Linked DNA regions of Schizosaccharomyces pombe. Changing the gene in region 3 together with the main gene of any one other region gives a genetic interaction. Each region holds a gene or a part of one and is shown on either strand. Other genes may lie near its edges.

Region 1 (5,705 bases), on a different chromosome or scaffold from region 3:
ATCTTGCGATTTTGAATGGTAACATAGGTATGCAAAAAAACTCTCTAAACCGAATTCGTTTATCCTATTTTAAGCTCTGAGGAAGCATGATTCCATGACCGAAATATTTGAGACTAAATTGACAAAACTTGACAGTCGAATACTTAGTCATCAAGAGAAGCCTTTTCTTTGGTAGAAAAGTTGAAGAGAAATATACAAAAGCGTTATAATAATTGTTAAATTTTGAGTCAATCAATTAGTTAAATCGTCCAACTAGAAACTCTTTAAGGGAATATTGGCTGAAATAAATTTAAAGAACCTTTATCCATTCCCCTAATGAACGCTATAAAAATCATTTATTACATTATCGAACGTCTACGGCCATACCTAGGTGAAAACACCAGTTCCCGTCCGATCACTGCAGTTAAGCGTCTGAGGGCCTCGTTAGTACTATGGTTGGAGACAACATGGGAATCCGGGGTGCTGTAGGCTCCTTTTTTTTAATCAGTTAGTTGAATTCATTTCTAGTTATTATTTTTCATTCTTGATTGCAGACGCTATCCAGTATTTCCATAGTTATCGTTTACACAAGGAAACTTATATGAGACTGTGAAAGTCAAAAGGACTATACGTTAAAATGATTGTCAATTCAGCTTGTTTATGATACTTAAAATATTGAATTGCTAATATCCATAAAATGAAATAACGAAAATTTCTATCATACTCAGCGAATCGCAACTGTATATGTGTATGTACAGTTTTCTGTTCAATAATTCAACACTCGTCAATTGAAGCCTTTAATTCCTTTAAGAGGGTAATTAGAAACCAAGCTAAAACAATTGCTTCTAATTGAGAACCATTAAAACGGGTTTAATCTAGATAAGACAAAAGGAAAGATACAATAAAGTTAGAAGTAAAATTGTGTTAACAGTTATGCACGTTATGTATTCATTAAAAAATGCAACTGCCTATTTTTTTTATCTTTTGTTTTTTTTTTTTTGGAAAAGGATTTGGTCAAATCAGCATGATTTGATCATATAAAAAAAGGATGCAATGTGACCATGGGAAAAAGGGTTAACTTTCAGTTTCATTTGCTTTAATAGTAAATATGTTCAGTAAGGTAGACCAACTAGGAGAAAAGAATAAGGGTAAATTAAAATATCGACCTTTTTAAAATTCAGGTTTGAGTAGTTTCGAAAGAAAGCCATCATTACATGTCTCCATCGTCACTAGGGAAAATGAAGTTATCAGCGGGGAGTAAAAAGCCAAAACCCTTCGCATCATTGAAAAGTGCCTCTAGTGAGGCATTGATATTTTCATCATTCCAAAGATTTTGTAGGTTGATTTGATTATGATAATCAGCATCTCTAGGGAAGAAAGGCACCTGCGTCGAATAAGCTGGTTCGGTAGCATTAAGCCTTGATTGATATACCTCGCTTTGTTCAGCAAATGCCCGCAAGTTAGTTATGACATCCGTACTTCCTTTTAAAAGTGGAAATCTGTCGGTAACAAAATTCAAAATGTCAATAGCCGTATTCAGTTGTTCGATCGTTTGTTCAGACGGGTTGATTAGAAGATGCACCAGAATGATAAAAGAGGCGGCATGACATGAATGGTAATCCATAAATGAATAGACAGATAGAAATTTGTGCATTCTTAGTAGTACAAGGAGGTCGACAATGTGCAAAGCGGATGAATAGCAGTATGAAATTAACTTATCAGTAAGAAGCCTAGCTCCCTCATCCGTCTTACTATTCATCGTTCTTTCACGAAGCCGGTGTAGTAAGAACGGTCGGCCCATGGCAATTCGAACAATATGATAAGCTAGATGCAAATGAACGATACCTCTGTAAGACCTGCTATCTGGGCCAATGTTTTGTATTTCTAGATCAGGAGACAGTTGTTGGCGCCATGCCTCAATTTCGTTTACAATCTCTTTAATGGTAGCTGCTTTTAAGTTCGCCTTTCCATGTAGCGAGGAATACCACATGTCATAGACTTTATTAGTTAGAAGGGAAATTTTAATAGCTAAGGTGAAGGTCCGGAAGCTGGCAATGAAGTTTTGCGAATCTAAACTTTCACGGTATTCTGGAAAATGAATATCAATTTCGGAACGCACAAGACTCTCGGGCCTGCCCAGAGAAATACCTATTTTTCTAAAAGTTAAACGTTAGCATAAAATAATGAGGAGGAATAATAAAAAATTCTCTTCTTCTTCCCAGACATGAATCTTGGGAAGTTTTCAACAGCCTTACCTTTCCATGCAATATACACTCCAGAAAAGCCGTTTACGAAGTTCAGCAACATCTCCGGAAAATTGAGCATTCGCAGACTTTTTGTGCATACCATTGGCAACAGCAGCTCTCATAGCTATACCAAAGTACATGTATACAACTTCGTGTGCCAATGTTGGAGACAAATACATACCGGCTAGGAAGAAAGACTGTACTGTTTCCAACGACGATTCACTGATGACTTTGGGAAAAAGAAGTTTGGCGTTTTGGTAAAACTGAGAGCCAGGATAAGTCCAACGATCGTGATTTTCATCAGAAAGGAACTCTGGATGGCGAATGTAGGAGAATAGACTGCCCATGGCCATGCTCAGAAGAAGCATACACACAAAACCACCATCTTTTGATTGAAAGGAAGTTGGATCATCGAAAAGATGATGGACTTTTGCAGCAAACAGCTTGGTATTATAATAAAAATGGTTGTTGTCACTAGAAAATTGCCAAAATGTCATAAGTAAATAAAAAGTGATATCCTTTGGGGGTAATGCATGGATTAAAGAGGCGACAGTATTATCGGCGGGATCTAAAATATCTTCAAATGTTTTATTTCCTTTCTATTGAGAAAAACGGGTTAGTAAAGAACAGTAAAATCGATGATGCCCCACAACATAGCAAGGGTATGAAATGAAGTAGATGAATCCATCAATACATACGTTAGTGAGTTTATGCTGCACCTGAAATTCCCTGCCCTGGCAAATGATCTCGTGCACGCGAGCGACGAAGCTTTCGTTAGAGCCGGCATCTTCGTAATATGTCTGTGTCTCATTCAAAGTCACTTGTTGATAGCTTCCAAGTTCGATGTCGGTAAGTACTTTATCAGGATAGGTTTGAAGGCTTTCACTAAGCTCCGCAATCTTTGCTTCCAAGCTGGGCAAATCCAAGCTCATACTTGGCATGAGTTTAGAAAGGATGGTCTCCATATGACTGAGTCTCTGAAGATTGAGAGAAATTTCGTCTTTATTCATAAGCAATCTAGGAGGAGTTTCTATTACGCATTCTAATCCTTTTTTAAGACATCTGCCACAGGGAAAGTTACCGACGCATTTGATTTTATGCTTTTTGCATTCCACACAACTAATATTAGCATTTGAATGAATAGACAAAAAAAAAGTAGAAAAAATAAAACCAAAAAAAAATTGTAAAGTAAGGAAATAAAGAAACAACTACATAATTCAATAGATCAACTAAATAATACGAAAACAATAAATATAGTAATAACAAACAAATCAAGCAACTTTTGGTTGGAATGGCGGCTGATCGAACGCGTACAAACTAAACGTCTTTCAACTCGACCAAAACAACCAGATGCATATTTATTTACATACGCAATAGCTTTTCGAATCCTTTTTGAAGGTGGAATTCGCTCGCCTCTTCTTCTTTTCGGTTTTGAGCCTCCAGCGCTCTTCTTCCCAGTTTCTGCTGTGCTCGCGTTCGCGTTCGCGCTGCTGCTGCCAACAACAACATTACCACCCCTTTCTTCTTCCTCTAGTTGATCCTCCAACTCCATAGCTTCGCTTCTACTCATGCCACTACGACTCCTATCCTCATGGGGCTGCATCCTAGCATGCATGCAGTGAGAATGCAGCGGAACTCAAGCATTTACTATTCTAAGCTATTTATCCAAACAGAAAACCCTCGATTTTTGTGTATGGAATTCACTCCAGCAACTCCAGCTCCAGTTCTCCTCGCTCTCGGAGATCTCGGGGCCCATCCGTTAACAGTGGTTTGCACGTTTGCGTACTCGCCCATTATCTTGGAAATGGCGGCATGCCTAGCAATCCTATCCTGATAGCCCCACGGCTTCCACCGCATTTCCACAATCACTGTGCAATTTTTAGAGAAATATCACTAGCCTTTCTAAATCCGAAATAATGACCTTGATGGATGACACTATCATTTCTTCTTGGTATACCCAGTGTCTTAGTGTATTATATTTCCGGTGGCTATAGCCGACTTAGACATCTATTGCTATCTTGGTGGAATCATATCTAAGCATGGCGAGCGATCAGTACTGTTTTACACTAGTATATGTGGTAAGTGGTGATAAGCTGCGCTATGAGTGCTTGGACGAAAAATTTAAAAAATGAGTTGGGAGCTCGATGTTAGCGTTGGGATGAGGAAAAATCAACGTATGAATGATATGCGTCTTGATTTCCCCATTTCTCATCAAGAAATTCCTGCAAAGTTAGAAATGCAAGACCCAATGTTGGCTCGACTGCTTAGGAAGCGTTTCATTCCATCATTTATTTATTTTATCAAGTATTTACGGTTTTTACGCCCCTGATATCCGATCTTGGATGTTTGTTTAAACGATGAAACTTGACGAATAGATAGGAGACTGACGCATCAACTTTGCCAATTTACCTAACATTATCAAGTTCTCCTATATCTCCGGGCTCAGAAGATCTTTGGAGGAACAATGGGGTAGCACGATATCGGGTATTTAGTGCTAAAACCAGGTAGAGTTGGTAGGTATTGCAATGTTTAATGATAGGTGCAACAGTAGAATTTTTGGTATGTAGGAAAATGTGCGATGCAGTGAACATACTCGAGATTACAAACCGGGTACACCAACCGGAGGGTGGATGCCAGATAACCAAGTCAAGAGCTTGTCTGCCTGGTTTAAAAGGAAGGGATCACCTTGCAATGCTACAAGCCAATTTCATTAGTATATCGATCCTCAATAAGAAAAACAACCCGACTACACTCATTATAAGTGTTGGCGAAAATAGCTTTTACTAAATTTCATTCTCTTTTCCCTCCTCTAATTTTAATTCTTTTTTCTTTTTTCCCTTTCCTTTCTCTACTACTTTTAGACATACTACCATAATCCCGCTTAGATATTTAAGCGCCTAGCGAGAAAATGTCAAGCATCAGTATAGACGAAAAGCTGAAAGATCCCGAGAGTGTCCAAAATAAGGAAATTCTCGATGTCGACGTTGGCGATCTCTCGCCAAAAGGCGTGGATGCTGCTTTCAATTACGCCCTTGATGTCGACTACGATGAGATCGATCCAGAAACGGAGCGTAGATTGGTACGCAAAATCGATTGCACAATCTTCCCCGTCATGTGTCTAGTATACTGCATCCAATTTTTGGACAAAACTTCAAATTCCTATGCCGTTATCATGGGTCTCAAAGAAGACTTGAAGATGGAAGGTCAAATGTATAGTTGGTCAGGTACTGCTTTCTACTTGGGTTACCTTGTCTTCGAATTCCCTGCATCTCTTCTTCTTCAGCGCTTTCCTTTATCCAAGACCTTGTGTGTTTTCTTAGTCATTTGGGGTTTCTTGCTTTGCATGACCTCAGTTGCCAACTATCCTGGCTTTATCGCTCTTCGTGTGCTTCTCGGTATGATGGAATCTGCCGCCAGTCCTGGTTTCATTCTTCTCACTGCTCAATGGTACAAGCGCAGTGAACAACAACTTCGTACTTC
Region 2 (2,693 bases), 660 kb from region 3:
ATGGGTTTAAAAAAAAACTTGCTTGCATTTGTAGAAAATGAAAAAGATGACTTATTTGTCGCAAAAATTTTTTTATTAGCATATTCATCTTCCAAAAATCGAAAGAAAATTGTTCCAGTGGACGTTTGGGATGCCATGATTGACTCTTTATACGAAACAATAAATGTCGAGGAGACAAAAAAAGAAACTTACAAGTTTACTCGAAGCATAAAAACTGTGATTCCTAATAAATTAATATCTAACGAGTCAATTTCAATATTATCTATTCCTGAATCAGAAAAGACTATATACCAAAATTTTGATTTATATGTTTCAAAGTTTAACGTCGCCAGGAAAGAGTTATCCGAAAAAGAACTTTTCAATAATTCTTTTTCTTCTTCATTTAATACGTTGCTCGCTAGCTTGTTGGTTAAGCCAACCTTATGTCTGATTTCTTATTTAATGATTGCAAAAAAAATGGTTGTATTACAGGAGGCAAACCGCTTATTTCTTAAATCATTTGCCCATCCATTCCATTTGGAACGATACCATCTACATGCTGTAGCTGCAATGGGTGGTCTGTATCAAATTATGTCTTCTACTCATCTGAAAAATTTGTTTTTCTGTTCCAGGAAAGGAATCGCTCTGACAAAATTACATAGTCAGCAATACAATGAATCAACGTTGTTTCAATACTTGTCAGAATTTGTTCATCAGCGACAAAAGTCGCTTACACCGAAACAGAGAATCGCTATACAAGAACTTATTTTAAAATTTATGCAAAGAAATTTTGAAAATAGCCTTTACCACCAATCATTCAGTTCGCACTGGTTTATATCTCGACTATTGATCAACCCGATTCGAATGCTCTGTTGGCATATTACAGATGTGGGGAAAACGCTGGATCTCGGAGAAGCAGAGAAGTTACTAAAATATAATCACAAACAATGTCCGTACATAATTTACCCATCAAGCTTAAAGGCAGTGCAAAAGTTAGGTGGATTACAGTGTATCATTAGGAATGATAATTTGAGCCATATATTCAATTGTTCAAGGAAATATATCAGAGTACAAAGATATTCTGACGATGATTTATCAGAATCCAGTCTTCTACCGCGGTTGGTTAATTTACTTTTGTTTTTTGAAAATTCAATGGGGGAGGTTGCATGGAACAAACTTAGTCAAACGTTAATGGATATGTTTGAAAAGGAGACAAAGAGCAATTCTTTGAGTGATTATTAAAGCAAAGACATCAATTAATTATCTATCTTAATTAGATGCGCAATAAAAAAAAAAAAATAATATTTCCCTAAAGAAAGACAATCAAAAACGAACTGCTTAAAATAGAGGTTTAACTCCCTTGTTTAATAACCCATAAGTTAAGTGTACTAAGGTGCAATTACTAAATGTTCCAAGCAAACGTATGTTAAAGATGTAAACTAAATAGTTGGATCTGATTTGGTCAATAATTAATCGCATTTTCTTAATAGCTGAAAACTCGGATTTTAAAAGAAATTATTTTATTCTAATTTATTATAATGACAATAGCTGTTTTAATTTTACGAAGATTGCTATATCCTTAACCCCATATTGCTTATTCTGCTTACAGTATTGTTTTTAAATTTTAGTGAATAATAAAAGAAGAGAGTCGCTAAATAATTTAATATTTGATTATGTCTGTGTTATAATGCTTTAGCGTAATTTAGCAACAAAAACAGTCACCTGAAGTTGAGGTACTTTTGACATTTACACCTTTCCAGCACCATAGGAAAATTGTAATATCCGTTTTTTTTTTCACAATGCATTTGATGTATTATTTAAATGATGAGGGAAAGCGTGTTTATACTTTAAAAAAGGTATCTCCAGATGGAAGAGTCACAAAATCTTCGCATCCTGCTCGTTTCTCTCCTGACGATAAATATTCTCGACAACGTTATACTCTGAAAAAACGGTTTCATGTACTACTTACTCAATTGCGTAAGTATTTCTATTAAATTAATTGGTATAATGATAGTGTTCTAACGATTAGCTGCAAAACCTTACTGAGCAAATAAGAAAACGTCGAAAAATTTTCGCCTTTAGAAGGGAGCTACATAAGTATGGTTTTGGTTAAATAATCAATAGTTTTGATTTTTCTTTGGTTATGTGAGTAGTGTGCTCAATTGAAAAAAAAATATATTTCAACTTGAGTTGATTTTCCGATGTTTATTGCGAAGCATTATTTGTTTGGCATTTGCATTTATTATCTATTAAACTACAAAGAATAAATCCCTGGTGTATACATAAAATCTTTTAGTAAATGCTAAACAGTTACTGAGAATGTAAAATAACGATAAAAGTAGTAACATACTAGTGGTAATTCTGAATGAAAAACGAAACAACATTTTTTTAACCAATTTGTGAAAAGAAATAATAAAAAAATAAAACAGATGTAAAAAGCCAAGTATCTATTCAAACAGACTCTTTGAACATACAAAACTTAGGATAGTTCAAATTTCTCCATTTCAATTCTTAAAACGGAGATATGCCGCTCAAGCATAATCCTCAAGGAGATTTCAAGTCTAAAATGAGTCAAATATTTTGACATCCGTACCTTCAAAGATGCCTGGCCCTTCTCTTTTATGACTGTCTAAATCGCATGAGACTTGCCAGGCGAATAGACGAGCAAAATTTGCCAATTGTTGTCTCCATTCCTTTGTTCTATATTTCGGAAT
Region 3 (3,822 bases):
CAAAGAATCAATTTCAATGCTGGCTTGAGCAGAAGAAGAAAGAGTACGCTTGGCACGCTCGCAAGCAGTACGTAGTCGACGAACAGCACGAGCGTTGCCAGTGATGTCCTTCTTGTTCTTACGCTTGAATTCTTGGGCAAAGTGGTTCACTAAGCGAGAGTCAAAATCTTCACCACCCAAGTGGGTATCACCAGCGGTGGCTTTAACTTCGAAAATACCCTCTTCAATAGTAAGAAGGGAGACATCAAAAGTACCACCACCAAGGTCGAAAATAAGGACATTGGTTTCATGCTGGTTGCTTCTGTCTAAACCATAAGCAATGGCGGCAGCTGTGGGCTCGTTAATGATACGAAGGACGTTTAGTCCAGCAATCAAACCGGCATCCTTCGTGGCCTGACGTTGGGAGTCATTGAAATAAGCGGGAACAGTAACAACGGCATCGGTGACTTTGCCACCCAAAAAGGCTTCTGCGCTTTCACGCATCTTCAATAAAACCATAGAGGAGATTTCCTCTGGTGTAAAGGTCTTGGTCTCACCCTTGAACTCTACCTGAATCAAAGGCTTACCATCCTTCTCGATGACCTTAAAAGGCCAATGTTTCATATCAGATTGGACTTCGGGATCGTTAAATCTGCGGCCAATCAATCGTTTGGCATCGAAAATAGTGTTGTGAGGATTCATAGCAACTTGATTTTTTGCAGCATCACCGATCAATCGTTCTGTGTCAGTGAATGCAACATAGGAGGGAGTCGTGCGATTTCCCTGGTCATTGGCAATAATTTCCACTCGATTATTCGAGAAATGACCGACGCACGAGTAAGTAGTACCCAAATCAATACCGATAGACTTGCTCATATTTGAAATGTATTAATAGTTCGTAAAGAAAATTCGTATCAATGAAAAACGGGGGAATGAAATTAAATTCGTAAACAAAATAAACGTGAATTAATAAGTATTATAACACAGGTACGATAGATTCGCACAAATGCGCTTTAGAAAATGCTTTTTTTAATTTAAGACGAAATAAACAATCGAAACGACAATTGCTGTTTGAAGAATTGTTGATATCCCTTTCGCCGTCCCCCAACCTCTATTTATGTACCTTTGTCCATTCTCGAACCTTCACCAACCCTAACCCTCGAGATGCTTCGAGAAACGGGGAGAACGAATTCTGACGAAGTCAAGGAATTACGTTACGATACTCAAAAAAAATCGAAACATTTCGAAGTTGCCGAAACATTCGCTTCCAAACCATCACGATCCAGCGAAAACGCTTGAGAATTTGCTGGACGTGTCCTTTTATTAATCCGTACTACCTTGTTAACTATCAATGGGTAAAACCAAGTTTTGATCGTCTCAAACTCGCTAACACCTTTTTTCCTCCACATTATTCGAATGTGGAGTAGAAAACGTCATCACTTGTCGAGCGATGGCTTCCCGCTTACATTAGAGTAAATTCTGTATGCAATTGCCGAATACAGTTACTTTCATTGTGATGACTTAATTAGAGCATACAGATGTTTTTCAAATTTGTCTTTCGATTGCACTAATTGATGGTGAAAAAACCGTTTTCAGAGTATGAGACGATTCTTGCAGCTTCTGCATCATTTGCAAATAAAGTTATAGTGGAATAAACGAGTATAAACGCACGATTACTCGAGCAGACTGAAATATAACGGTATAGCAAAAAAATGCGGTATATGAAATAATGCACAGTTGCGAAAATTTAGGTTACTGAAGCACTCAATAGTGCAATTACCTGTCCCAATAATCAATTCCTTAATTGTATAGTAACGATGAACAAATTGGTCTCGCATTTTGGATAAGAAAACTGGTAGAACATCGTAACGTCATTTAGAAAAAGGCACTACTTCATCTCTTTAAGTTATTTAAACGAGGCTAAATGATTGCAACCTTATCAGTAAATTGCAGATTGCTGTATTGGTCTGGTAAACGAAGGAAAGGTTGTTTAAAATAAGTAGCGCAAAAGTACCCTCCCTACAAAAAGCTTTGGTTATCATCAATCACCAATTTTCTATAATAGGGGAACTACCTTAAGCATTTCATTGCATGTATGTAGATGGCTCCTGATATCTCAAAAAAACGATTACCATGCAAAGTCCTCGTTTTTAATTTACCACCAACTTTGCCTGAACAAGTGTTTCTCCAATCCATCAACTCATTTTTACCACACGTGGAATGGCACCGATTCTCCAAAGGGAAAGCAACTGTTGGGTATTTATTTATTTCTTTAACCTTTCTTGCAAATAGTTACTAATATCGTGCCTTTGTAGTACTCGATCTGAATTGCTATCCTTTGCGTATTTGAAGTTCCAATCCGCCACGGCTGTTCAGGAATTTTTTCGCGTATACCAAGGACATACCTTCATAGATAAGAAGAGTAAGTTGTTACCATTCAAATTTTTCTTTTTTAACTCAAACATGCATTAGACAACACTTATAGGGCAATTGTCACAATTGCTCCATATCAAAAGATTCCTCCTTCTAAAGTAAAGGCAGATAGTTTAGAAGGCTCACTTGAACAAGATCCGAAGTTTCAAGAATTCAAGGTTCAGCGGGAGAGCTATTCGCAAACTGCGTCCAATGACGATGTTATTGAAAAATTACAAACCTCTACTCCATTACTACAATATCTTGCTGAGAAAAAAAATGCCGTTGTAGAAAAAGGAAAATCAAAACCATCTAAGAAATCTGTGAAGGCTAAGAAAAAGCTACGCTTGGCTGAAAAGCCGGCATCTAACAATTCAAAAGCTGGTAAAAGCTCACAAGAATCAAAAAAGTCTTCAAAGGCACCTGCTGAATCTGCAGCTGCTGTAATCAAAGAAGATAAAGTTTCTGATCGCAAAAAATCTAAAAAGAAGCCAAAAAAAACCCCCGTTTCTAATAGCACTGCTTCTCAAGCTTCCGAAAATGCCTCTGATAAAAAAACAAAAGAGAAGAAATCGTCTGGCAAACAAAAGATCGCTTCTAAAAAGAAAGATCAGCTAACAACTGATAATGTTTGAAAAAGTATTTATCCTTCCTTAGTGTGTAAATTAGAAATTCCTCCAGTCCTCATTCTTTATGTTTGCCTTATTGTCAACGATCACGATCAACTTAGCATCTTTAATTATACTTTTTAATCAATTGGTTGTTTTCCAAACTCATAAGATACACTGATGATAGATACATTTTTGCATTACTGTATTCTTTGGCCCGTAAATATAAATGCAACAAAAAATCTTTTAAAACACATACTCTACAAACCATAAAAAAGTACCTGTTTGCGATAGCACTACACAATTCCTACAACTATTTTTAATGTAATACCAATATATCGTCATTGTTCTCATGCTTATTCTGAAAGAATATTAATGAGATGGAAAGATAAGTAAAATGAATAATTGAAACTGTGCATGCAAATTTATAAAAGGAACCAGTCCTTTAATTAATAGGTTCGCCAAAGAGATAGTAAAATTGTAATAAAAGTAAAATGAATGAAATGAAAGAAGATGAGTAAAGAATCAATCTAAGGGAATAAATCGACAGTTTACCGAAACTATCAATTCTCAAATTATACATAAGCTAGCAGAATGAAGACAAAATGTCCAATTGAATAATCATTAACGGATCATCCGATTTCCACCAGGTCCCCGTCTATTATTACGGTTACCACGAACCGGAAGCTCGAAATCAGCGTTGCCTGAAAGCTGATCTAACGTATTTGAAACAGGGGGAACATTAGATAAATTTTGAGGGTCTCTCATCATACTGCGAGGACCATAACCCATGCCGGCATGGGCGGTATTCAGGCTGCCATGT

Evidence for each region.
Region 1: mutations in upf3 (region 3) and SPOM_SPCC417.09C together harm fitness less than expected from each alone (positive genetic interaction), as found in Schizosaccharomyces pombe (one large-scale study listed by BioGRID).
Region 2: mutations in upf3 (region 3) and nop10 together harm fitness less than expected from each alone (positive genetic interaction), as found in Schizosaccharomyces pombe (one large-scale study listed by BioGRID).

Annotation. Positions count from the first base shown.
Region 1 is NC_003421.2:1,690,593-1,696,297, forward strand, and holds SPOM_SPCC417.09C (transcription factor), read right to left. Parts: upstream 3,993-5,705; 5' UTR 3,841-3,992; coding exon 3,494-3,840; intron 3,345-3,493; coding exon 2,924-3,344; exon of another isoform or gene 2,825-2,923; coding exon 2,235-2,824; intron 2,136-2,234; coding exon 1,190-2,135; 3' UTR 627-1,189; downstream 1-626. Other genes in the region: dipeptide transmembrane transporter Dal51, read left to right, coding at 5,134-5,705.
Region 2 is NC_003424.3:1,634,590-1,637,282, reverse strand, and holds nop10 (snoRNP complex protein), read left to right. Parts: upstream 1-1,778; coding exon 1,779-1,956; exon of another isoform or gene 1,957-2,008; coding exon 2,009-2,025; 3' UTR 2,026-2,172; downstream 2,173-2,693. Other genes in the region: SPOM_SPAP27G11.14C (uncharacterized protein), read left to right, coding at 1-1,221; SPOM_SPAP27G11.12 (uncharacterized protein), read right to left, coding at 2,541-2,693. UniProt on the Schizosaccharomyces pombe protein: Non-catalytic component of the H/ACA small nucleolar ribonucleoprotein (H/ACA snoRNP), which catalyzes pseudouridylation of rRNA and is required for ribosome biogenesis.
Region 3 is NC_003424.3:2,296,899-2,300,720, forward strand, and holds upf3 (protein upf3), read left to right. Parts: upstream 1-2,000; 5' UTR 2,001-2,080; coding exon 2,081-2,235; exon of another isoform or gene 2,236-2,294; coding exon 2,295-2,401; exon of another isoform or gene 2,402-2,451; coding exon 2,452-3,026; 3' UTR 3,027-3,170; downstream 3,171-3,822. Other genes in the region: heat shock protein Ssa1, read right to left, coding at 1-855; protein Mac1, read right to left, coding at 3,624-3,822. UniProt on the Schizosaccharomyces pombe protein: Involved in nonsense-mediated decay of mRNAs containing premature stop codons.